4 linked regions of the Bombyx mori genome follow. The protein of the gene in region 3 purifies or fractionates together with the protein of the main gene of each other region. This does not show direct contact. Links are inferred from orthologs where the notes say so. Each region holds a gene or a part of one and is shown on either strand. Other genes may lie near its edges.

The links. The genes of interacting proteins can lie anywhere in the genome.
Region 1: the proteins of putative pre-mRNA-splicing factor ATP-dependent RNA helicase PRP1 (region 3) and splicing factor 3A subunit 3 fractionate together in Homo sapiens (co-fractionation; 3 studies listed by BioGRID and IntAct, with this or other methods). This does not show direct contact. The link is inferred for Bombyx mori from reciprocal best matches to the Homo sapiens genes DHX15 and SF3A3.
Region 2: the proteins of putative pre-mRNA-splicing factor ATP-dependent RNA helicase PRP1 (region 3) and RNA-binding protein cabeza purify together in Homo sapiens (affinity purification with mass spectrometry; 4 studies listed by BioGRID and IntAct, with this or other methods). This does not show direct contact. The link is inferred for Bombyx mori from reciprocal best matches to the Homo sapiens genes DHX15 and FUS.
Region 4: the proteins of putative pre-mRNA-splicing factor ATP-dependent RNA helicase PRP1 (region 3) and calcium homeostasis endoplasmic reticulum protein purify together in Homo sapiens (co-immunoprecipitation; 3 studies listed by BioGRID and IntAct, with this or other methods). This does not show direct contact. The link is inferred for Bombyx mori from reciprocal best matches to the Homo sapiens genes DHX15 and CHERP.

What each region holds. Positions count from the first base shown.
Region 1 is NC_085112.1:8,792,213-8,798,762, forward strand, and holds part of splicing factor 3A subunit 3, read right to left. Parts: intron 4,499-6,550; coding exon 4,451-4,498; intron 4,381-4,450; coding exon 4,222-4,380; intron 3,800-4,221; coding exon 3,727-3,799; intron 3,610-3,726; coding exon 3,518-3,609; intron 3,341-3,517; coding exon 3,119-3,340; intron 2,968-3,118; coding exon 2,807-2,967; intron 2,605-2,806; coding exon 2,479-2,604; intron 2,016-2,478; coding exon 1,823-2,015; intron 1-1,822. UniProt on the Homo sapiens protein: Component of the 17S U2 SnRNP complex of the spliceosome, a large ribonucleoprotein complex that removes introns from transcribed pre-mRNAs.
Region 2 is NC_085116.1:7,698,970-7,705,180, forward strand, and holds the end of RNA-binding protein cabeza, read left to right. Parts: intron 1-689; coding exon 690-847; intron 848-1,682; coding exon 1,683-2,332; intron 2,333-2,743; coding exon 2,744-2,771; 3' UTR 2,772-3,595; downstream 3,596-6,211. UniProt on the Homo sapiens protein: DNA/RNA-binding protein that plays a role in various cellular processes such as transcription regulation, RNA splicing, RNA transport, DNA repair and damage response. Binds to ssRNA containing the consensus sequence 5'-AGGUAA-3'.
Region 3 is NC_085130.1:9,708,416-9,714,965, reverse strand, and holds the end of putative pre-mRNA-splicing factor ATP-dependent RNA helicase PRP1, read right to left. Parts: intron 6,269-6,550; coding exon 6,131-6,268; intron 4,814-6,130; coding exon 4,691-4,813; intron 3,742-4,690; coding exon 3,642-3,741; intron 3,162-3,641; coding exon 3,071-3,161; intron 2,429-3,070; coding exon 2,266-2,428; intron 1,962-2,265; coding exon 1,834-1,961; 3' UTR 1,808-1,833; downstream 1-1,807.
Region 4 is NC_085128.1:5,796,942-5,802,744, reverse strand, and holds part of calcium homeostasis endoplasmic reticulum protein, read right to left. Parts: intron 5,549-5,803; coding exon 5,401-5,548; intron 5,100-5,400; coding exon 5,023-5,099; intron 4,844-5,022; coding exon 4,645-4,843; intron 4,571-4,644; coding exon 4,006-4,570; intron 3,910-4,005; coding exon 3,776-3,909; intron 3,512-3,775; coding exon 3,344-3,511; intron 3,223-3,343; coding exon 3,110-3,222; intron 1,859-3,109; coding exon 1,729-1,858; intron 669-1,728; coding exon 502-668; intron 70-501; coding exon 1-69. UniProt on the Homo sapiens protein: Involved in calcium homeostasis, growth and proliferation.

The DNA.
Region 1 (6,550 bases), on a different chromosome or scaffold from region 3:
GCCAGCCAGTCTTGTGTGCTCTTCGCTCTATGAGCTGGCGCCGAATCTTGTTGGAATACCCAGTGCCTGTTATTGAACATGGTATGAGAAACAGGTTCCACAAGGTTCGTCAGGACTGTATTTTGATACACAACTGCATTCGTTTTTACACTTTTCTCACAAAAATGTACCTCTGTTAAGCCCCAATAAGAAACTCCCAACCATACCATGAGCGAGGATGGAAAATGACCTCGTTGGATACGCGGAATACGGTTGCTCGCTTCTTCACTACTGTGTGCGTACACCTTATCATTTTGTTTGTTGTAGCTCTCTTCTACGGTAAAAATTTTTTCATCCGAAAAAAGAATTTCCCGATATTTTTTTCCTGCGTACCGCTTCAACAAAGCGCGGCATCTCTTCAGTCTCAGGTCCATTAGACGAGCATTCAAACGATGTCCTGTTTTTCTTCGATATGCCCGAAGCCCTTTTTTTTTTTTTTTTTTAACGCTGGGGAATCCATTTACGGATACCCGGTCCGGGGGGGTAACGAACCGGGTTATGTCGGACTCCGGCGCCTCCTGAGAGGAAGAGGGGGACGAGAAGGTCCTCCACCTCCCCGAATTTCTCGCAAGAGACTACGCCTTGAAAAAGGCGCGCGAAGCACTTGCCCCGCAGAACGACTACCGACTAAACCCCATCGAGCTCCACCACACCGGCTACACCAGACATACGGTACCGCAGTGCGCGCCGAAAGTCTGCCTTCGCCGGTATCCGTCCTGATGATAAGACGGGATTTCATATCCGGGAAAATCCCGAAGGACGTCATTTCGGGAGATACACCGTGGGCGGCGCACAGGAGCCACCTTGCACCGCTCCACCACCGGACCGACAGTCGAGTACCGGGCGCCCCCGCACCCGCCACCTGATAGTCCCTACGGGGGCTGAGCGGGAGCTTCACGCCCGCGCCGGCCATCCCGCCTTCTGCGCTGAGGTGCTGAAGAGGGATCCCACTCCCTTTCACGCTCCTCAGCGTCACGGGACGCCATTACCAGGTCACAAAACCTGGCCATGGCCTCCCAATGCCCGAAGCCCTAAGTCTTCATTTAACACCCTTTTCACCGTGGTTCTGCTTAACCCCATCTGAAGGGCCAACAGTTTCTACTTACGTTTGGGATTTCTTTGAATTCGCGCCTTCACAGCTTTTATCACTGCTGGAGTCCTAACAGACCGAGGGCGACCACTTCTTGACCTGTCATCTACACTAGAGTCTTCATTGTATCGTTTGATGGTACGATAAACGAATCTTTTGGTTATATTCAAATTTTTCAGTATGTTAAAAATTTGAATTGGCGCGTAACCGCAACGATGCAACGCAATAACTGCAACACGGTCTTCTTTAAGCGTCCACTCCATATTTAAAAATGAGTAAAATTCTAAAAGTATACATTTTTATTTTCATGAACAAATCGAAATTCGAATTCAATAAACTTTTTTGTGGCCAGCATTCTAAAATAAAAGTTTTTACTGTGTGACAATACTTATGACCTGACTAGGTATTTATAAAATTTCGCCTGCATATTTACTTTCTAATTCTGTTGCAGAATTATGCAGTTAATAATTATGAGGTTTCAAAGAAGTTCATGCATATGTATTCAATGCATATTTATTTATAAAACATGAAACAAATCAGAACATTTGAACCTCAACCCCAGTCATAGTTGCATAATTTGATATGAATAGACGCGATGTCTTGCCCCATCAGCCTGTTATTTACTAATACATGAGTAATGTTTACATTCGAACTGTTTTTCACAACTTTAGCAAATAATAATCTAAAACTCACCTTTCCATCCCATCCCAGTGGCAAATTCTTAGGATTATATGGCACTTCATCATCATCTGAATCAAGGTCTGGTGCTGCAGAAGCATCACTTTCGTCACCGCTTTCGTCGCGACGTTCACCAGCAGCTCTTGCAGCACGACGCGTTACATTTTCAATAGTTGATGCTCGTGTACTACTTATTATAGTCGCGAACCTATGGAATTCAATCAAAATAACACCTTCTTATGTTAGTTTCTTTTTAGGGCAAAGAAAGCCTACACTTAATGTATTATCCTGTCTTGTATACACATTAAGCTTTTCCTCATGGCTAACCAAATCAATATCAATTGCATTTGTATCCTACTCTACTATTAGTCCTAGTATCCTATTTACATGCCTAGAGTTAGAGATAAACCTTCTAGTACTGTTCTGGTACAACTTTTCATTATATTAGCTCTACCGTTGCTCCACTCCAGCCTCGCTTGCACAAAGAAGTTGCTTTCTAAATCTATCAGTTTTCACTCTGCAGTCTAAAAACTATATTCCTTGCATGTTGCTTAGATGTTTTAGTTAGTAAATTATAAAATTAGTAACCAACACTATTTTGAATATTGATTTGGATATTGATTCTTTATTGTTTGGTAATTGAATAATATATTCTACAATAATCTACTTACCTATAAACCTGTGCTTCAATTGCAGCAATGTCTTTTTGTCTTTGTTGTGTGGTAGCCTTTGCCTTATTTCCCTTTTTCGCAACAAGAGACTTGTCAAGGGCTGTTTGACCTTTAGTGCTAAACAACCTAGAATAAAAAAAATATTAAATGTTTTTTTATAGTATTGATAAGAGGACGAGCTCAAAGCCGACCTGCTGTGAAGTAGTTACCGGAGCCCATAGACATCTATAACGTAAATACGGCCACCCACCTTGAGATATGAGTTTTAAGGTCTCAGTATAGTTACAATGTTGTAAACTTACGAAAAAAAAGCTAATATAATACTCACCTCTGTGCTCTTTCTTCCAAAGTTCCACCACATTTTAAGCCGAGAGCCATAAGAGCTGATTTTAATCTGTCCAGGCCAAGAGACGCCAACTCTTCCCATGATGAAAAAGCCGACAGATCTAAATGCGCCCCCACATTTGTTAAAGCTCCACCAGTTTCTTTCTACAAGAATTTAAATGTCAATGTTACCAGTACTAATCATTTTCTAAATTTATTTTCAAAATTTAATTTCAATTCAATATATAATAATACTAAACAAAATTATTTTCATAAAATGAAGTACACAATTATATTTTTATAATTTCATACTTACAGGCCATCCTGGAAATGTACCAGACTCCCATTGTTTTAAAAACTCCTGATGCCCTAGAGCCATTTCTTGAGCCTGATCCAAAAGAGGTTTAACTCTGGACACAAAATCTTTCATATAAGTGAGCAATGCACGAATGTAATTCCTGTATTCACTATTCTTCCTTTCACGAGGTATGTCAAAGAGATGATCAAATATGCTCAAGTATGTAATATAATCTACTTTCTGTAACAAAAATACTAGTCTTTTTGGTTTGGTCTTAAAATCCTACAATCAACATGCTGGCTTTTAAATGACTATATATGACTATATATAAATATGTTCCAAATAAACTATATGAACATTCACATTGTACTGTATAATTTATATAACTTTTATTATATAAAACAATGAAATACTTGCCTCAATACCTTTCAAGTTAATGTACTTTTCATAACACGAATGTAGGTCCAAATACTTTCCATAGCCTTCTTCATCAGTGAACTCGACAGGAACTGAAAATTTATAATTATTTTTTTCTAATACAATTAATAATAAAATAACATAACTTCTGTTGAAAACAACAATGATGACAATATGTACAAAAAATATTTAATATTTCCAACAAATACCTGTGTAATCCTCAGCAGGATTTTCCCTTTGATTTGCCAACTCTTCAAATTCTACAGACATGGGTACAGATATCTACAACAGAATACATCATGCATATGAAATAAATTTTAAATATATTGGGTACTGATGAAGGTGTTTATGAAAAATGTTAGGGTGCTAATCTGACCCATAAAATTTAAATAGATCCTTAACCTGTCTTACTCATCGCTTTTACATTCATGTATTTATTTTCTGGATCCCAATCAAGTGTCACTCCTCGAGACAGCTAGCAAAATTAAACAACTGGCTGCATTCTGGCAAGGGAGTCAGGATGCTTGTATCCCACACATCCCACATAAACATGAATTAAATCAAAATATAAAAAAATGGTTTATTAATCAAATTATTATGCAAAATTTATACAAGTAATAACTTTTCAGGTGTAAAAATTTCTACATCTACATAATAGATGCACTAAATCACAAGTATTTTCTATTATAATTATTGTAACTCACTTCATTTGGATGTTTTCTATGAAACTCTTTAATTTGCTTAAGTCTCGAATAGAACTCCTGGAACTCATGTGGACCTGACAATGCTGATATTTCTTCTTTTCGTAATCCATCTTTATCTTCATACAATTCTTTAAGTCTTATAGAGGCTTCAATATATCTCTAGAAACAATTAATATATGCTAAAAGACTAGTGGTTACACAAACTGTAAATTTAATTGTATATACATACATCATGTAAATTCTTCAAACGATGATCAGCATTTATAGTCTCCCGATGCTGAAGAAACATAACCATTATAATATATTTCAGCATAGTATGTAGTATATGCAAAAAAAAATTCAAATTCTATAACATACAGTGTACAATTATAAAACAACAAGTATTAATTAGGTTTACATCAAAAATAAATATATTCCATAGCAAATACTTTCATCATGAAGCAATTCTGATTTCCTATACATTAGAGAAAAAAATTACATTTCCTCAAGTCTAACATTAATTCCTACGATCATGAGCTCTGTTAGATATATAATATTTATTTTTGGCTTAGAGAAATAATGCATAATTATTAATTATGCATAATCAGTTACAAGTACCTAAGGAGAAAAAACGAAAAAAAGAGATGACGAAATAAAAGAGCGCTGGAAGATATATTTTGAAAAATTAATGAATGAGGAGAACGACTGGAATAGAGTGATTAATAGGAAGCCAGAGAACGTCGGATTTGTGAATGAGATTAGTATGTATGAAGTTAGAGAAGCAGTGAGAAGTATGAAAAGCGGAAAATCGGAAGGACCAGACGGTATACCAGTGGAAGTATGGAAGATACTGGGAGAAGACGGATATAAGTGGCTGACTTTATTCTTCAATAAGCTGCTGCAAGAAGAAGTGATCCCTACGGAATGGAGCATCAGTACGCTGGTGCCCATATACAAAAATAAAGGGGATGTGCAAGACTGTGGCAGCTATCGGGGAATAAAGCTTATGTCTCATAGTATGAAAGTTTGGGAGAAAGTGATAGAAAAGCGATTGCGAGATGAAAGTGAGATCACCCAAAACCAGTTCGGGTTCATGCCTGGTCGCGGGACAACGGACGCCATATTTGCACTACGCCAAGTGTGCGAAAAACATCGCGACGTGCACAGGAATCTGCATATGGTGTTCGTTGATCTAGAAAAAGCGTACGACCGAGTACCTAGAGTAGTTTTGTGGTGGGCATTGAATGAGAAAGGTATACCTGGTAAGTATGTGAGGTTAATCTGTGCCATGTACAGTCGAGCCAGGACGTATGTACGAACCGCCGCGGGGAATTCCGACGAGTTCAATGTGGCAGTGGGCTTACACCAAGGGTCTGCACTAAGTCCCTATCTCTTCCTGCTTGTGATGGATGCCTTGACATCGGAGATACAGGAAGAGCCCCCTTGGTGTATGCTGTTTGTCGATGACATAGTACTCGTCGGAGAAAACGGGCTCGAGGTCCAAAACATACTGGAGAAATGGCGATGCAAGTTGGAGAGTGTTGGCCTAAAAATCAGCAGATCGAAAACCGAACATCTGTTCTGTGATTTTGGCGGTCTCTCCAATTTTACACCCATTTCCCTCGACGGAACACCTTTGCCAGTATGTCAAGACTTCCGATACCTAGGGTCTGTTATCCAAAGCGACGGTGAACTGGATCGTACTGTGAGGCACAGAATTGACGCAGGATGGATGAAATGGCGGCAGGTCACGGGCACCATATGTGACTCGCACATCCCTCTTCCCCTAAAAGGGAAGATATATAAGACCTTAATAAGGCCTGCCGTCTTGTATGGATCAGCTTGTTGGACAACGAAAGTGGCGGATGAAAGGCGATTGCATGCAGCAGAGATGCGAATGTTGCGATGGATGTGTGGAGTAACGAGAATGGATAGAATACGGAATGAATATGTTAGAGGAAGTCTGAAAGTGGCACCTGTGACAGAGAAGCTGAGGAGTGCACGTTTGGGATGGTATGGACATGTGATGAGACGGAATGAAAATGAGGTTGTTAAGAGAGTGTTAACTATGAATGTGGAAGGATTTAGAGGAAGAGGTAGACCTAAGAAGAAATGGATGGATTGTGTGAAAGACGATATGGGTAGGAGGGGAGTGAGCGAAGAAATGGTATATGATAGAAGAGTATGGAAGGAGAAAACATGTTGCGCCGACCCCAGGTGACTGGGAGAAGGGCAGGATAATGATGATATGTAATTACATAATAATGCAATTTGTTGATTTAGAAAAAGCGTATGATAGGGTTCCCCGTGAGGTTTTGTGGTGGAGCATGAAAGTGAAAGGAGTGCCAGG
Region 2 (6,211 bases), on a different chromosome or scaffold from region 3:
GCTTGGAAATGTGTATTACGAATTACTAAATAGATTGTAAGGTAAATAATATTTTAGGTAAAATGTGCTATATGTGTTTCACAATAATATCAAGAGTTTATTGAGGATTGTGCTTATATAAGGGAACTTACAGTATATGACAACCTCAAATATGAATATGTAGTGACATATGCTAGCAAGTAATAAAATGAATGATAACTACACAAAACATTTATTTTATCTCTAAGGAGACACCACTATTTATTGTAAGAGGCATAATCTTCAACAGAGTTATAATATTGTGACTGATGATAATTAGGTAGTATGGTTACTTGATTAAAGTGTATTTGACCAGTAATAATGCATATTGTTTTGGCAGCCCTAAAGTTATGGTATAAAGTCATGCAAAGGTTTTGTCATCGACAAAGAAAAATAATATTTTTTAATATTTGTCTATGTTAAGAAGGTATTTAGGACACGTAATTCTAGTGTGTCCAAAGGTAATATTACAAGCGCGAATCCAAATATCATCTATTTTAAGAGGTGAATTGTACATTTTAGAATGACAAGCTAAATAACTTATTCAATTAGATAATTTTAGACTTCATTATTTAAAATTAAATAAATTATGTTGTTTATTTATACAGCAACTAGAATTGTTTATTTACAAGCTATTTATTCCCCCATAATTGAATAAAATTTTCCTTCAGGAGGCGGCGGAAGCGGTGGATATGCCGACCGTGGTGGCGGTGGTGGTGGTGGCGGTGATATGGTAACTCAAGAAGATACTGTCTTCGTTCAGGGAATGAATCCATCTACTACTGAAGAGGAGCTGTGCCAACATTTTGGAGCTATTGGTATAATCAAGGTAATTGAATGGTAAAATATAAATTTGGAAAAATGTTTCATTTTCCTTCTTTTTTGGATGTATGTAAACTATGCTAAATCAAGCATAACATAATTTTGCCGCAAAACGCCCCAATATTGAAAAGAGAAATAATATTTAGAATTTCATATGTACTGAGTTTTTTCAATTTTAATGAACTGGTTTTAGCAGCCTGCCATTAGTAGATGATACATTAAATATATGTTATACATAGCACATCTTCCTTATCTCTCTTACCGCTTTCTTTTCCTCCAAACCAAATGTTATGGTTTGTTTAGTAGTAATACAATTAGCCTTGGCTCAATTCCTCAAAATAGGAATTTGGGAGTTATGGAAAAAATATAATTATTCTGCTACTGTGGATGACGTAGAAACGCCGATTTTTTTCCCCTGCCTAATCGTTGGTAACCTAAGCCGCTATTCCAACTTTGCGCGGACCAGTAGATGAGCTCACGGATTGAACCTAAGAAATTTTGCTTAAACCAGCTCTAGCAAAAGCAGTGCTTCGCCGGATCGACATCGCGACCCACCGAGAAGATCATGGTACCAGGACGACCGAGTAAGGACGCGGCTCGGTCGTGTACTTAAACGTTGAATTGGTGGCTGTAACTTAAGAAAAACTGTTTCGATTATCTGAACTATGAAATGATATCTTCGACTATGTATTGACTACACGCAGCTTAAAATTTAGCCTCAGAAACTAATAATTAATTAATATTTGTTCAATTTTCGCTACTCTTAATATCTCTAGGAAACCTAAGAGCGACTTTATAGTTTTAGACCAAAATTAATTAAGTAAAATCAATTTTAATTTTAGACTGATAAAAAAACACAACGGCCGAAAGTATGGATGTACAAAGACAAATCTACTGGCCAACCTAAAGGAGAAGCGACTGTAACTTACGAAGATTCCAATGCAGCTTCTTCTGCAATTCAATGGTTCGACGGCAAAGACTTTAATGGAGCAACTATTAAAGTTTCACTTGCCCAACGACAAAATACTTGGGGAGGTGGCAAAGGAGGCGGTGGTGGCTTCAGAGGAGGACGAGGTGGAGGCGGCGGGGGAGGAGGTCGCGGTGGTGGTGGAGGCAGAGGGGGTGGATCTCAAGGTTCTAACAACCGTGATGGAGACTGGAGATGTCCAAACCCCAATTGTGGAAACACCAACTTTTCTTGGAGGAAGAATTGTAATAGATGTAATGAAGAGAAACCCGGCGGCGGTGGCGGTGGAGGTGCTCCAGGCGGAGGGCGAGGCGGCGGTCCTCCAAGCCGTGGAGGCCGTGGCGGCGGTGGCGGGAGAGGTGGAGGAGGAGGAGGTGGCTGGGGTGGCCGCGGGAGTGATCGAGGAGGTGGTGGACGCGGCGGTAGCAGAGACGGTGATCGTCGCAGTTATGGAAGCAGTGGCGGTGGTGGAGGAAGGGACGGTGACCGCGGTAATGGTGGGGGCGCTATGAGAGGAGACGGCGGGTAAGTTTTACAGTATCATCATCATCTAATTTTTATGCGTTTTCCAATCACCAACCCCTAGTTTTTTATGATTTTTAAATAAAAATATGCTCAAATTAAGGTTTAGGTTTTAAATAGGAAGAAGTTGTTAAGACTATCAGAATAGAAGAGATAAGAATTTATTAAGAAATACCCACCTAAATAGTACATTATGTGCTAAACAAAACTTATTTACTAGACACTACATAAACAGTCTGAAATTTAAATAAAGACATTAATAATTAAAATTTGGCAACTGGACATACTATGTCCACACACTAATTATCAAGCGAGATATATATAGATAGATTGCCTTAGAAACAAAAAAATGTGAATGACATCATAAAATAAACATATACAAATTGATAAATGATTTCAAATATATTGTTTCAGCAGCAGAGACCGACAACGACCTTACTAAATATAATTTTAAGATTTAATCATAATGTTAATACTTCCTTCTGACTGAGATCTAAGTTTGTAAAAACGTTCAATCTAAACTTTCCATCATATTACAGTGTATATAAGATATCTTGAACACTTTAGATGCATTTCAGACATGTATGCTTCTTACTGAATTAGAATTTACTTGAATTAAAAATGTAATCTTTCATTAATAACTAGAAATACTAACAATTGATGCTTTTCACCCATTTTTTAAATTAACTATTGTACAATAGATTTTTTTTTAGTTTTTAGTGTGCTAAATATAAAATCTATATATTTATAGAGATCGAGATTTATTTCTAATGTTGTCAATAACATGTCTCGCTTATCAAAGCAAAGGGAATCAAAGTGATAGCCTCGTTATGATTGGTTAAAATATTGTACAAGTGTGTAGAGAATTAAAATTAAAAAAATTAGAATGGAGATTTCTTAATATTCATTTATTAATAGGTGTAAAAACAAAATTATAAAATTTTTAGGTTTTTTGTTTTTTTTTTTATTAATTGCAGAAACAGTAATTTTATGTGTAAGTGAAATGTACTTTTAGTAGTATTCCTGCTGCAAGTTAAGGTTTTTTCAGTTACATATTATTTTGGTCAGATATCTAGGATTTTTAATAAATAAACTTATTATATATATAGTACATGGACTCATTAACAACCCTGTCTCGGTCTCTATTTTAATAGAATTATAAACGTGTTGTATTTCTAATAACTGAAATGTAAATAGGATTAAGTTATGCATTTTACTACAACCCTTGGTATAGAAAAACCTCTCAATAAAAACATTTTGTAACTATCTCAAGTTTTTTATTAAATGCAGAAAGGCACTTTATGTGAGTATGGAGAATGACAATGAATATAACAAGTGTATTAGGTGTTATAAATAAAATACAATTAAAAGTTAAGAAATTTATTTAAAAAAATATACTTAATATTAAAAATGATGTGTCGCCGTCGTTATTATCATTTTCTAATAGTGCTACCCCTTGGATTAAATTTATGGTAGCACCTGAGCTGGTGGAAGGAGTTGGCTCCTCATCGTTGACATAACGAAGAGTCGCTGTCGTCACTGGCGTAAATAATAAAACGCTCAGTGACTGAATCGACTATATGGTCATTGGTATAATTTGGTCCTGGCATTGCAAACAAATTTAAAAGAATAACACTCGTAACAAAAACTAAATTTAAAACAAATTTTTTTTTATTGCCTAGATGTGTGGACGAGCTCACAGCCCACCTGGTGTTAAGTGGTTACTGGAACCCATAGACATCTACAACGTAAATGCGCCACACACCTTGAGATAGAAGTTCTAAGGTCTCAGTATAGTTACAACGGCTGCCCCATCCTTCAAACCGAAGCGCATTACTGCTTCACGGCAGAAATAGGCGGGGCGGTGGTACCTACCCGTGCGGACTCACAAGAGGTCCTACCACCAGTAATTACGCAAATTATAATTTTGCGGGTTTGATTTTTATTACACGATGTTATTCCTTCACCGTGGAAGTCAATCGTGAACAATTATGAAGTACGTATTTCATTAGAAAAATTGGTACCCGCCTGCGGGATTCGAACACCGTTGCATCGCTACGAATGCACCGGACGTCTTATCCCTTAGGCCACGACGACTTCAACAATTCAAAAATAATAACAACTCGTAACAAAAACTCAATATAAACAAAGGGTTCGTACAATTTAGTAGGCGCATGTGTAATCAGGAGCGAACGGAACATGGACGCGGTGCGGGAGGGGAGGGTCGACTGACTCACCAATCGCGCGCTTGGAACGGTGCTACGTCTTTCCCCGCGTCCCGCTTGACAACCAAAGAGACCTAAAAAACGACTTCTGCGCATCTGACGATTCTTGCCAAGTTACGTGCCGGGTACTATATCTCTTGTAACTTATTATTTCCGATTGCGTTTTGACAACGCCTGCGATGTTGATAATCCAATTTGTCATATTCTGATCACAAAGTTCTGAGATTAAGTGTTCACATGTGGACAAAGCGATGGAGAATTGTTAAATCTAAATCGGAAGGCCTCATCATTAGGTGATAAGAAGACTGCATTGATATTCATAGTTATTTCCTGACATTGGCGAAGTTTATACGAATGAAATATAGGAAGAAAACTTTAATAATACTTTTAATTTAATACTTTTCTTTACATGCCATAATTTATTGATAAGTTTTTAGTCAATTGAAAGATTGAGCAAGAGCGAACCGGTGACAGTGAAAATGCAGACAGTTCGCCGGTCTAGCTGGCTATTTAATGACTTAATGTCTGACTACCCTCGGACAGGGCCTGCGCCCATTGCGTCTCATTTCTGAATCTAAATCCGGGACGACAAAATTTATCGCCGATCGATAGGATATTTTCCCAAGGTGAAGCTAACGCGTTTGAGGTCTAACCGGAGAATGGTGACGGAATCAGTGTCACTAAAAAAACAGCGTTTTTTTCGATTTGTGGAAAGAAATCCCTACGCCGAGACGCGCGCTTGGCTGTGGGACTACCGAAGCCACGCACTAAACGATACCCTTGAACTTTCGCCCGAATGTATAAACCCTGCCCAAGATTACACGGGACAACCGCGATTAATTCTGCAATCAGACACCATGCCATCCTGAGGAGGCCTAATAGACAGTATTCGGCGAAAACGAATTTTGCAGAGTTATATACGGCCGCACTTATCTTTAACCCGTTACGCTCAATGAAGTTGCCAGCAGTTCATCAAAAACAGAGTTCGGGATAGGATGTCCACCTGTGACGCGGGACGGTTGTGAACACCTGAAACCATTGCTTTTACCTAGTGTATTATCAGGGTATCATTTTTTCGTAAGCATGTACCATCTGGTCCTGGAATGAACTAGTCTTCAAGATATTTGCCTAGCGCTATGAAAAATCTCTTCAAACAAGGTTTATAAAAAGCCCTCAATGGAAAACAGCAGTTTGACTGTGTCCCAGTATTGTAGTCGTTCATAAGCAATGAGAATTACCATATACTATCAGATCGAATTTGTGTCCTAAAGACGTCCGGTGTACTCGTATTGAACAATGCAACTATGCAAATGTTCACATACTACACAGACTGGTTCCAATATTTTTTTTAAATACAGAGAACATTGCTGCCCATTTTCCAGAGAATGCCTTATGATATTTTACGTCAACCACCAGAAGAGATTTAGTTATGCCTTTCCATGGCTCCCAGCCCACGTCTTTACGGATCCATCAGATACAATAACCGTTGCATTAGACACCCTTAACACTAGGAGCAGGCTCAGGGACTCCGGTAATCGTACTCGTCGATCTCGGCAAAGAGTTCGTCGTGCAGCCTAACCTACAGCAAAATGTACAGCTCCTTAGATTTATTTGCTAATATCTTGACTAAAATTTGATTTAATATATTGTTTTATAC
Region 3 (6,550 bases):
TTGAGCGTGCGCGTGTTACGTCATATCTAGTAATAAACTTGTTAATTTACAATTGGTTTTTCTGTGAACCTTGACAAGGGAATGTGGGTACTTTGAAAATTTTTGGCCACCAAAATAATTTACAAAAAAAATAAACGGTCACAATCTGTTATTGCATTTCGTTAATTTTTGGTAATTTAACATTGTTTTCTTTTTGCAAAGATCACTAATACGAACGTATGTAGATTTTTTTTGACTTTCCGGTGCGGTCGCGATATTTTAACTATATTTTTTTATATAGATTCTAGTTTAGAAGTAATTGTGAATTTGGAAAGTTGAAAACATTGTGTTCCACTTTGTCCTTAATGGTGAGGAACGTCACTGAGCATCACTGAGCGTCGGTGTTTGGTTGTAAATATATAATATTATATTACATATTCCAAGTGTGTGTTTTGTAATATCGCATGTAGTTGTTCAGTTGTAGGTAAATAAAATGTTGAACTGTTTTTTGTTTCTTTATTTTTTACAATTGTAGTCTCTTTGTCATTAACTTTTACCTTAACGATGGGTTCCAAAAGCTCCTGAATGAAAAATATTTTAATTTTGATGTCGGCTTGCTCTTGTGGTGTTTTTTTAGTTGTTAAATTACAGTAAAAGCCCCTTATTCGCAGTTCCTTCATTCACCTTTTCACTATTCCCCAATTAAAACAAAAGCAACCCAATTCCTATATACGCGGCTAATTATTTACTCGCCAATCTAATTGGTACATCGGTACGTACACATTGATAAAAAGGAATCCAATATGTATGTATCCAACCGAATATCTATGGAATGTTTAACGATGAAAGGAACATCTTCCACCGAGCTGGTGATATTGTTATTGCAGGCTTATCTTGAAAATGTTGTAAGCGAGAATCAGGTCTTTGTCAAATATCTTGTGTTGTATGATGACTATATACATATACATTATCATAATATCATTACCATTCGATAATCGCGGCGTATTACGAGACATATATTCCGCGGATAAAGAGCTTTTACTGCACATGTGTACTATATTCTTATTCTATACTTCCGTTAGAAGGTCGTGTGGTATTTACACAGTCAACGTAGGATAGATGGCGTGCGCGTCACGGCCCGCTTCCCTACTATACTAGAATTATTTTGTCCGTGCAGTTTGGGTCATAAGTAGTCGGAGCGGTGAAGCGAGTGTTTCGCTCTCTCTTCCACTCACGAGCCTTACGGACGGGCATAGTGATGTGCATTATTGTTATCGATAGTGTTTTTAGTTTTGCCATTTTGTGGGTTAGTGATAAAAATTAAAGAAAAAATCACTAATCAAACACACCACATATCGCCGCAGCAGTTAACGAGAACGGCAAAAATTAACACTTTGTAACTTTTCGGGATCTATTTTTATTTCAGTGAAAAATTTTAATACATTGTTGATAACAACACGTGCAAATATTATTTTGAATAAATTCTACAGTTTTGATACAAAACAAAGGAGTAGCCATTGTGTCACTAAAGAAATTCAAAGAGTGAATGCATAAAAACACATTTCTCTCTTCGACATAATGTTACTATACATTATGTCGAAGAGAACTTGCAGGTAAGTACAACAAATGACTCATAACGTAACATGTCTCACCACCCTTCGTATACCACCCCGCCGCCGTGTACCTGCCTTCGATGACTCATTTGTTTTTATCGATAATGGCGTTGCGCCCGCGAAACACGCTCTCCGCCCTAGCCGGGCTATGTTTTATGACCCAAACTGCACCGACAAAATAATTCTACTATAGTTACGAAATAAAAACACACTCAACGGATACTATGATGTGTACTTTATTCTAGAAGCCCTCCTGGTAGTGCTTGGAGTCGAGTCTGGCCTGCAGCAGCTCCAGCTGTCTCCGCGCCTCGCACTGCGGGAAGTTGCCCAGCTCGTAGTACTGGGGAGCGATCTTCAGCAGCCATTCCGCTGTTAACATAATCTATATATTGATACGTGACGCAAAAACTTTGTATCCCTTTTCACGAAAATTGCGCAGACAGAAGCAGTATGAAATTTTCCACACTTATAGAGAATACCGAGAAGGAGTGCAGAATGTTAATATTTTTTTTTAAATTATGCGTAAATAATACATACATTAAATCAATAAAAAAAACATTACACACACTACCATGTTTTTGAACACCATGACCCGTGTTATAGTCGAATCTCTACTACTGGGAAACCACTAGTTGTAGTAAAAACATTGAGTTTGAATAATGTAACAACTCACGCTTGATATCAGTGACAGTCCTAATGTAGTTCTTGGTGGTGAGCACGAACTCGTTGTATATGACCCAGTCGGGCTTGTGGTCCAGGCACGTGGAAGGGTGCAGCTGTACCACCTGGTTGTCCTTCACCGTCAGGTAGCTGCCCGTCCTCTCGAGGTGCGCCACCTGGAACACCCGACATACAACTGCTATTGATACAAACCAGCTTCATTAACTAATAAGCACAACCAAATGACTGAATTATCTCGATCATCATGATGTTATGTGTATAAGGAAGATTAGAAAAAAAATTCAAATATTATTTTAAATGTGTTAAGTAAGTACTGTTAGTAAATATTTTTCTATTCAAAAAATAACATTTTTTTTTGTTATTCACCAAGTGGCTAATCAGCAATAGGGCGATAGCAAATACTAACATAGATTATTATCATTAGTATATACAAGTATTGAGAATTAGATGAAATCATCTAATTCTCATACACACATGTGTATGAGGTTCAACAGGAAAGTGCTCAGAGCAATTGTTTTAGTGTTCTCCATTGTACTGTTACACCAGCTCTTTCTGAAGCACCCATAGTACCAAACAATGGTTTTAACCACTGTTAATCCATGGTGCATTTTCAAATTTCAGAGGTCAACTCTACAGTTCAGTAGAAAATAATAACTTGATACTATCATGTCACAGTCCGGTCGTAAATGACCACGACCACTAATCACCACCATCACCACATCTCACAGGGTGGGGTGTGTGAGCTTGCAAGTCACTATGTGTATGTTACTTATACCAAATGCCTCAACTGACAATACCTGCATGAAAAATCCATTTACAAGTGCCTTCCGTATGTTGATGTAATAATCTTTGCTTGTGAATTCTGTGCTTGTTCTTTTCAAATTAAATCTGTAAATAAAACAAGGATATAATAAGAATTGCAACAATTGCAAGCGACAAATGCTTCACGTGGTTTGTTTTTGCAAACATAAATTCTACCTGTCTACTCGATCAGAAGAATTTTATCACAATTTCATAGAAATTTTGTTTCATTATTTTGTTAAAAATGACTAAGTTATAGAGCTTTTAAATTTCATCATCATTCATCAGACTTCATCATTAAGGTATCAGAGAACATTCCTCAGACACATCTGTAGTGGCTTAAACGACAAAGGGAAGATCTTTCACCGAGCGGGTAACATTGCTCGGTAGACCGACGGTCTGAATGTTGTTGTTCGGAACTTGTATATATGCGAGCTTATCTTGAAAATGTCGTAAGCGAGATTTAGGCGTCTTTCGACTATCTTGTGTTGTATGATGGCTACCCACTACACATCATATGTAATTTTGAACTCTGATCAAGTCCCCTTGCTCTATTCACAAACAAACCTGTCCATAATCCTGCTAAGTTGCTGTCTGACGTTGTCGCCCGACTTTAGCGATCTGTAATTAATGAAGTTATCATAGCACCAGTGGGGATCCTCCATGTCTGAAAATGAAATATAATATTCTATAAATTTTTGTATACAGAAAATAATTGCATTATTTGGAAAAACGAAAAGCCACCAGTAGCTAAGTGGTTATTTTTTTATTTTATTTTTAATGCTTATATGGGTGGATGAATAAGAGCCAGTGCAAACAACTTGGTCCATGTTACATTCATATTGTGAAAAGGTGATTGTCCACCTGTCCATGTCAATAACGGTATATTGCCTCATCAAGACAAAGTAAGATACCTGGGAATGCACTTGGACCTCCGCCTAACATGGAAACACCACATCCAAACTAAAAGACAGGAACTAAACATCCGATACAAAAATCTCCATTGGCTGTTCGGACGTAACAGCAAGCTAAGTGTTGACAACAAACTTTTAATCTACAAAGTTATCCTTAAGCCAGTTTGGCTGTATGGACTCGAATTATGGAGTAGCGCCTTGAAGAAACGAAGTTACGGTAAACAGCTCAAGAGAAAAGATGTCATATAGTTCAATGATAAATCTTTGAATTTAGAGTAGATGGCTCGCTAATAAAAGTAATAAATCTAATAAAAGTACAGGATACTGATTGTAGATAATATAGGGGAATAAAAAATAAATAAAAATATGGGTGGACGAGCTCACAGCCCATCTGGTGTTATGTGGTTACCGGAGCCCATAGACATCTACAACCTAAATGCGCCACCCACCTGGAGATATAAGTTCTAAGGTCTCAAGTATAGTTACAACGGCTGCTCCACCCTTCAAACCGAAACGCATTACTGCTTCACCGCGGAAATAGGCAGGGTGGTGGTACCTACCCGTGCGGACTCACAAGAGGTCCGATCTCGATGTGGGTGACGCATTTACGTTGTAAATGTCTATGGGCTCCAGTAACCACTTAAAACCAGGTGGGCTGTGAGCTCGTCCACCCATCTAAGCAACAAAAAAAGCTATACTCACTCTGTTTGAAGGCGTGGTATACGTTCAGTAGCGTAAGATGGTCACCGTCGATGTGGGCAAAACGCATTTTAGCCTCGTCGGCAGCCTTCCGCGCCTCGTTTGGTCTCACGAAGCACTGCGGCACTGAAAATTATTAATATAATATTGTTACGCCCGTAAGAGTAACGCCATCTATCGCCGAATAGTCGAACGAATATTTGAAGGATCTAGTAGCACCTAGAACGCTCGAGAAGTACAACGCCATCTATTGTCAGATAGTACACACAATACTAGAGATGTGTGGAATATTCTCGATAATTCTAGGGATTTGGTATCGGCTATAAAAGCGTTGTAGAGATGGCACGCAGTCAGTCAGTAATCGGAATTACTCGAAGCGAGTTTTAAAGTGTTTGTTGAGTGTTTTAAGTGTTCTAAGTGTTGAATACAGTTTTTAGGTGTACATTGGTGGAATTTTATTTATCCTGAACCCCAGCGCGTAACAATATGAAGCTATGAAGGTAGTATGAACAGCAGCACAGAGCAGTGGGGATGTTTCCTTTGCTAATGTGGAGCCAGTCTACGGGTAGTCTCGCTGTCTCTTTCGCATGACGGTGACGTCATAAGCGTTCTTCGTTTAACAAAAACAATAGCTTGTGACTCCCATTGATGCATAGAACAAATGTCATCGTTAAAACTTCCTTCATTGGGTTTGAAACAGGCCCCTAGTTTTATGACAAATGTGGTGAGGAAGCGTCAGTGCTGGGAGGGGTCACTCAACTCCGCACTCTTCAACAATTTTTTGTCTCATGCTCCATCGATGAGCCATGTAACCATTACTTATACAATATCGTATCAAACAAATTATTTCTATGAGCTTATGGTGCATTCAGCTACATGATGCTTGTCTTATTTGCAATTGTAATCGCATCATCCTTATTCGATATATTGTAGTTTCAGCATTTTGACCTAGTTGCCCAGTATATTCTCCAAGTTAAAAGTCTGTAGATATTGAGGCTACCCCCAGTTCAGGAGTTGGACAATTTATTAAAATTAATTTCTATTAAAACAAACTAGTGAAGTGTGGCTTGTGATTTTTTCTTTAAATAAACAGACAGTATCGTATACCCAACAAGAAATCACTTAAAGCAAGTCAAATACTATCTGGGTTTTTTTTCCTACCTAAGCTGAGACCCTTGAGAGGCTATTTCAGTGTAACCTTAACTAGTAGGTGAGCTCACGGGGCTCAAACCTGACGTCGTTGCTAACACGAACCCTAGCAAGAGCCGTGCTTCGCAGAATCTACCACCGGATTGAAAACGCGACCCACTGAGAAGATCCGGCGAGAAACTCAGTGGGCTGTGTCTGTGGGTTAATTTACTCGTCGAGCCCTTCGTCGCAAGCGACGGGTTCGACGAGAACGATGACCACGCTATCTGTAAGCACAGATATGGAACATCCTACCTGACAGCATGGCAGTGATGGAGAGGATCTCGTTGGAACAGTTGTGATTGCAGCTGGCTATCAGCATCTTGGCCAGCTGTGGGTCGAGGGGGAACTCCGCCATCACAGCACCCAGGTCAGTGAGGTTACCGTCATCATCTGTGGAGAATCAAATGACAAATGAACATCATGAATAATAACCCATCTGTCTCGACTGGTGTTAGGTCGTCTTGTGAGCTCACGCGAGTAGATACCACGACCATGACTATTTCTGCCGTGAAGCAGTAATGTGTTCCGGTTCGAAGGCAGCCATTGTACTGTAAAACGTATACTCAGAACTCATGTCTCAATGTAGATGGCGAAATTTACGTTATTGATGGCTGAGGGCTCTGGTAGCCACTTAACATCAGGTGGGTGATAGACGCCCACAGATTTAAGCAA
Region 4 (5,803 bases), on a different chromosome or scaffold from region 3:
TGCTGATGAACGCTGCACCTTTGTTTTTTCTGAAGTTTTCATAGGGATCATTCAAACTGACGCCAACACCTATAAAAAAGATTCAGTGCTTTACATTTTTTGTTTTTTTTTTTATTGCCCTTGTAGGCCGACGAGCATACGGTCCACTTGATGGTGAGTGGTTACCGTCCCTCATGGACCTCAGCAATGCCAGGGGCAAAGCCAAGCCGCTGCCTACCGCTTAATACTATCCAGAAGTCTCTTTTGAAGAAGGACATGTCATAGCGCTCGGGAAACACCATGGAGGGGAGCTCATTCCATAGCCGGATGGTATGTGGCAAAAAAGACCTCTGGAAACACACTGTCGATGAACACAGCAGTTCCGGATAATATGGATGAACTCTGCTCTGATGGCGGGAGGTGCGATGATAAAAAGGAGATGAAGGGATTAGGAAGGAAGTACTTACCTAATTTGAAAAATAATAATTTTAACAAAACATTACAAGCATTATTATTTATTACCTTTATATTGGTCTTGTCTATCTCTTACGAAACCGCCACTGATAGGTTCTGCAATACCCTGGCCTGAAGCACCAAGGCCCCCTGCACTCCAACCCATCTTTTGTAGCATTTGATGCCCTTTATTTGTAGAATCTATACCTCCGGAAGTCGTGGGATATGCTCCACCACTATTTAAAAAACAAATTAATGCAAAGACATTTTTTCAATATAATGACCAAATTATATAGTCGTATAATAAATATACATATATATGCTATTTTATTTGATAATTGTCTTCTAGATGGGTAATGTACTGTGACTGAACCTTAGAACTCATGTCTCAAGGTGGGTAGCGGCATTTACGTTGTAGATGTCTATGAGCTCCGGTAACCACTTAACATCAGGTGGACAGTAAGCTCTTCCACCCATCTAAGCAATAAAAAAAGTAATTTTTATCCCAACTTCAACTGCTATATAAACTATTGTAGAATGTAGAAGGCTTTCTCAGCAAGACTTTTTCGATTCAAGATTCTTATTGTCTCTAACATAACGTGAATTAATATAATTTAAATATCTTAAATGAAATAATAATGAAGGTTAAATAAAAATTTGTGCTTAGCAACAATGTCTGCTTCGCTAACAATACCGCGCAACTCAAATTAAGTCAAGCTTTTTTAAATCCCTTCGCTTCAAACATTAGATATAGAAGGCATCTGCACAACGACCTATGTATACGAGCATCGACTATGCACGTCGACGTTAGCGCTGTGCGTCTTTACCATCAGCCCCGTGATATTCTTGTTTTTTAGGCATACATATGAGGTATGCTTAAAGATGGTAGGTACTTGTTCTATTTTCTTAATTATATATTTGAATTATTGATAATTGTTATTTGACAGTAATTACTCTAAAAACTTTTGTTGTATACATGCACACTTTCCGGTGTAGTGCTCCGCCGTTCAGTAGCCCTACTACGGGGAATTGGTGAACCATTAAGCCGCGTCATTCTTACGAAGCGCACTGCCACAGCGAGAGTTATAAGATACGCTATATTAGCTATTTATGAATAATCAATCACAAACATCTGACAAAATTCTCATAGGTATTCAGTTCTTTTTATTTGTGCTAAAAACGAAGGAAATTTGATTCGCGCAGTATTGGTCGCCAACACAGTATTATATCAACCTGATATTGCACAGGTCAACTGATTTGAAAGATAAACCTAATTTAAAGAGATAAAATTCTCACAGAAAACTAGGTGGTGTTGGCGATCTAGAGCGTTCCACACGGCGCGATCTTGGTGAGTCTCTGTGTCTTTCTCGTTCGCGGGAATTACTACGTGATTTTGATCTTGACCTCGACCGGGTACGTCTTCGTCCTGAGAATTAACAATAATAGAGAAACTCAACTTGGCATAATATAAAACGATCGAATTAAGTAGTTAAAATAGACTTAGTGAACTTTTGTATGGACACATTATTATTATTATTTATTGGACTGATAGAATAGAATAGAATAGAAAAAAGCTTGTTTACTGCTAAACATAAGCTTCTTCAAGAAACGCCAAGACCTCCTGTGCTGCCTACATCCAGACATTTTTGAGATCATCAGTGAGTTTTTGGGCCACATTGTGAAAAAAATACTTAAGCCTAATATATATTTTGAAACATTTTACACACATAGACAATATATGGTCACGTCCTTACGGATCCATCAGATCCAATAACCTTTGCATTAGATGCCTTCAGCTCTAATACTAGGGGCAGGCTTAGGGACCCCGGTAACCGTACTCGTCGAACTCGACAAAGAGGTCGACGTGCAACCTAACCCATGCATCAGCCCGCTGAGTTTCTCGCCGGATCTTCTCAGCGGGTCGCGATTCCGATCCGGTAGTAGATTCATTCGCGAAACAATTGCTCTTGAGTTGTTAGGTCTCCTTCGGAGGCGCTCGGGCAGTTGTTAGCAAATCCCACCCCTCTTGGCTGAGCCTTTGCTCGCCCACCTGTCCTGGTGAAACTGGAAAGGCCTTCGGGCCACCAGTAAACTTTCAATCATAAAAAAAAAAAAAACAATATATGGGTACTTTTCACAGGTTTATATTATACTTCACTTTATATTATACTATACTAGCTCAGGCAAGTCAACCCCGTTTATTCACACGCTTGTGTTTTTGTGAACGTTTGCCAAGGCTAGCATGCAAACGTAGTATTATTTGAAACATGTATTATCTATACATTAATATAGTATTATAAGAGACCAGCTGTAGCCGTCCGCTTCGCTGGGCTTTTAAAATTAACATTATTATTTCTCACCCCCACCAAGATTAACGCCCCCCCCCCCCCCCAACTGGTGTAGGGAGTCCAACACTCATATAAATATTAGTCTATGCATTAAGTACATGTATTTTCTACGTGAATACCAAGTTTCAAGTCAATTGGATGTATGGTTCAATAGTTATAACGGAACATCCGTAAAAACCATTGTAGATTTATATATTAGTATAGAAGTATAGATTATTCATGTACGAGATAAAATTAGAAATTGTCTACACTTAATTCAATAACCAGAATCGTCGGGTGTCATGAACAACTAAATCTCTACTACCTCATAATATTTGAATAAAAATTACCTTCTCTTGCACTTTCTCTCTCTCTTTTCCACATATTGTGTTTTCTTTTAGGTGACTGTGAACGTGATCGTGACTTCATTGGTATATTAGGTTCGGGTGTTTTACTCCGTGATCTAAAATAGACAACACAAAATTAATTGGATCAAGAGTTGGGGTTATAATTATTTTTCATATAAAATTAGTACACTTTCAATTGACACTATCTTTAATGTGTCTTGAGTATATATATTTTACCTGTATCTTCTTCCTGGTGGAGTAGGTTGTTTCTGTAAATCCTTAGGAATTGGACTGGGTGATTTCGATTTTTGTCTATAACCTTGCGCTATAGCGTCTTCTTTCATCTTTCTTGCTGAATTTTTTGCTTTGTAATACTCGTATAATCCTAATTTCTCCCACCCTTCACTGCAAATTTATTAAATATAACACATAATATTCTTCTTCAATATTTACCAACAGTGAGGTTATATCATGTTTTTATTGCCATTACTGGCAAACAACCATCATTATTCTGTGAAATCACTGTAACTATATCATCACCAGTCTTTACTGCGATGGACAGTTACTATACTATGCCTTAAATCCAGTGTATATTTAGATGCGAAATATAATTTTCTGAATTCAAAGGAATATATAATAGAATAAAAGCTATTTGAAAATGAGACTCACTTATCTCGTGGACGTTCATGATTTGGCGAGGCAAAGAATGCATCAACGGCTGCTAAAAGTCTATCATTTGGAGGTGCTGGTGGTGGTAAACGAATTCTGTCCGGGTCTAATGGTTTATAGTTGTCATCTTCCAACTAGAAGACAATGAAATTTAGCATGCAAATTAATTATTTACATGTATGATAAAGAAAGTATGAAAAAAAATATCCTTAAAGTAAGAACATAATTACCATAATAAGTGGAACCATTAAACCAGCGGGGAGTTCGAAGTATGGTACTGAAGGCATCAAATCTTCATTGTTAATTTCAGGAATTAATGGTGGAAAACCTGGTGGAGGTTTGCTAAGGTCAGGAAGACCATTTTGGAAAGCCTGCAGTGGTGCATTATCAAGAGGCTTGAAGCCTGGTGGTGGTACGGAGAAGTTTACATTTGGTAGATTAGATAAATCAGGATCTTCAATATTTTCTTTCTTTTGCTTTGCTATTTGTTCAAATATTTGGCTATCATAACTATTCTCATTTCCACTGATACTGTTGTTTGTTGGGTAATTATCCCCACTTTCACTACCATATTGCTGACTATTTGAGTTTGCATTAAAGTTTTGATCATAGCCACCCATCTGTGGATATCCTATATCACTGAAATTACTATTATGAAAATTTCCCATATTACTTTGCTGCTCATTTTCATTGTTTTCTTGAGTTTTTTGCATCTCAAGGGCATGTTTTTGCATTTCCAATTGTTGTATTTGTTGCATTGTGTGACCAACAAAAGCTTGGTGTTGTGATTGATAACTGCAATCAAATAGAATATATTAATTTTTTAGTTATATTGAACACTAATCTGTTTTATTCTTGCCATAATTTACTTCTCAAAAGTAGATTTAGTTTGCTGTGTCAGATGCGAAATAGCATTCGCATGCTGTGAGATTAAGGCGTTCTGATAATCTTGGTAGGAGCTGGTGGGACTCTTCATTTTTTCAATTACTGCTGTCTCGAAATAGTTAGACTTGGACTCCCAAAGACGAAGTAACTTGTTTAACTTAGCTTCCTGCTCCTCTGTCACCGCTGAAACAGCAGAATAATGAAAAAGTTGTCATATGGGTCAGCGTGATACTAAGCAAGTTACCTGACTGACGAGAGAACCACAGGTGGAGTTCTAAAGATGCTTTGAGCTGCAGATAAGAATTTGCATTCGACAATAAAGACAAACCTAAATCTCGAGGGCATTATTATAAATAAGTTACCTATACTGGCATTGCAAAACATTGGAACCACCACATTTTCCAAATTTTTCTTGAGATCTTCTGCGTTTTTGCGTGCACTGTAATTAGGAATAATAGTATCATAGACACCGAATTGACAATAAAAAAGGGACACAATACTTTATTAAAATATGTTTATGTTTTGCTTAATAGCATAGTACAAAAAAAAATACATTATCATTTAGTATTTGTTTTAATTATTACTAGATATATTTTATATCCTATTCAATATCCCACAAATAATGACAAATACACTTTACAATATTTAAACATAATCGTTTATTAAGCACAACCAATCAATAATTACCCAAACCATTCTAAATGTACACTTTAAATATCAAATTTGTTTTTGGTACTAACCAATGATGGAGTACATCATTTACAAGGTAAATGATGTGTAGTTTCTGAGTAAAAGCAGCACCAGTTTGAGTGACTTTTCTAAGCAGGTGTTGAGATATGACTTTGCCAGCATCATGGGATGTAGCATGTTGAAGTATCCAACCCTTTCCTAATGTTACATGTAAAAATAAAATACAGATTCAAAAATACAAAAAATAAAACTGTTTGTTCCCACAGTAGCAGTTAGCAGTATTTCGAGTATTTCTTGAGTTTGGGAACATGATGTTTGGTCAGTCTGAATAGACAAAAAAAAATTGCAAAATATTAGCTAAGATTTAAAAACGAAAATAATATAATTGTATATGGATTGATTAAATATTACATACAATATTCAAGAATGTAGAGTATACAGTTGAGTCATAAG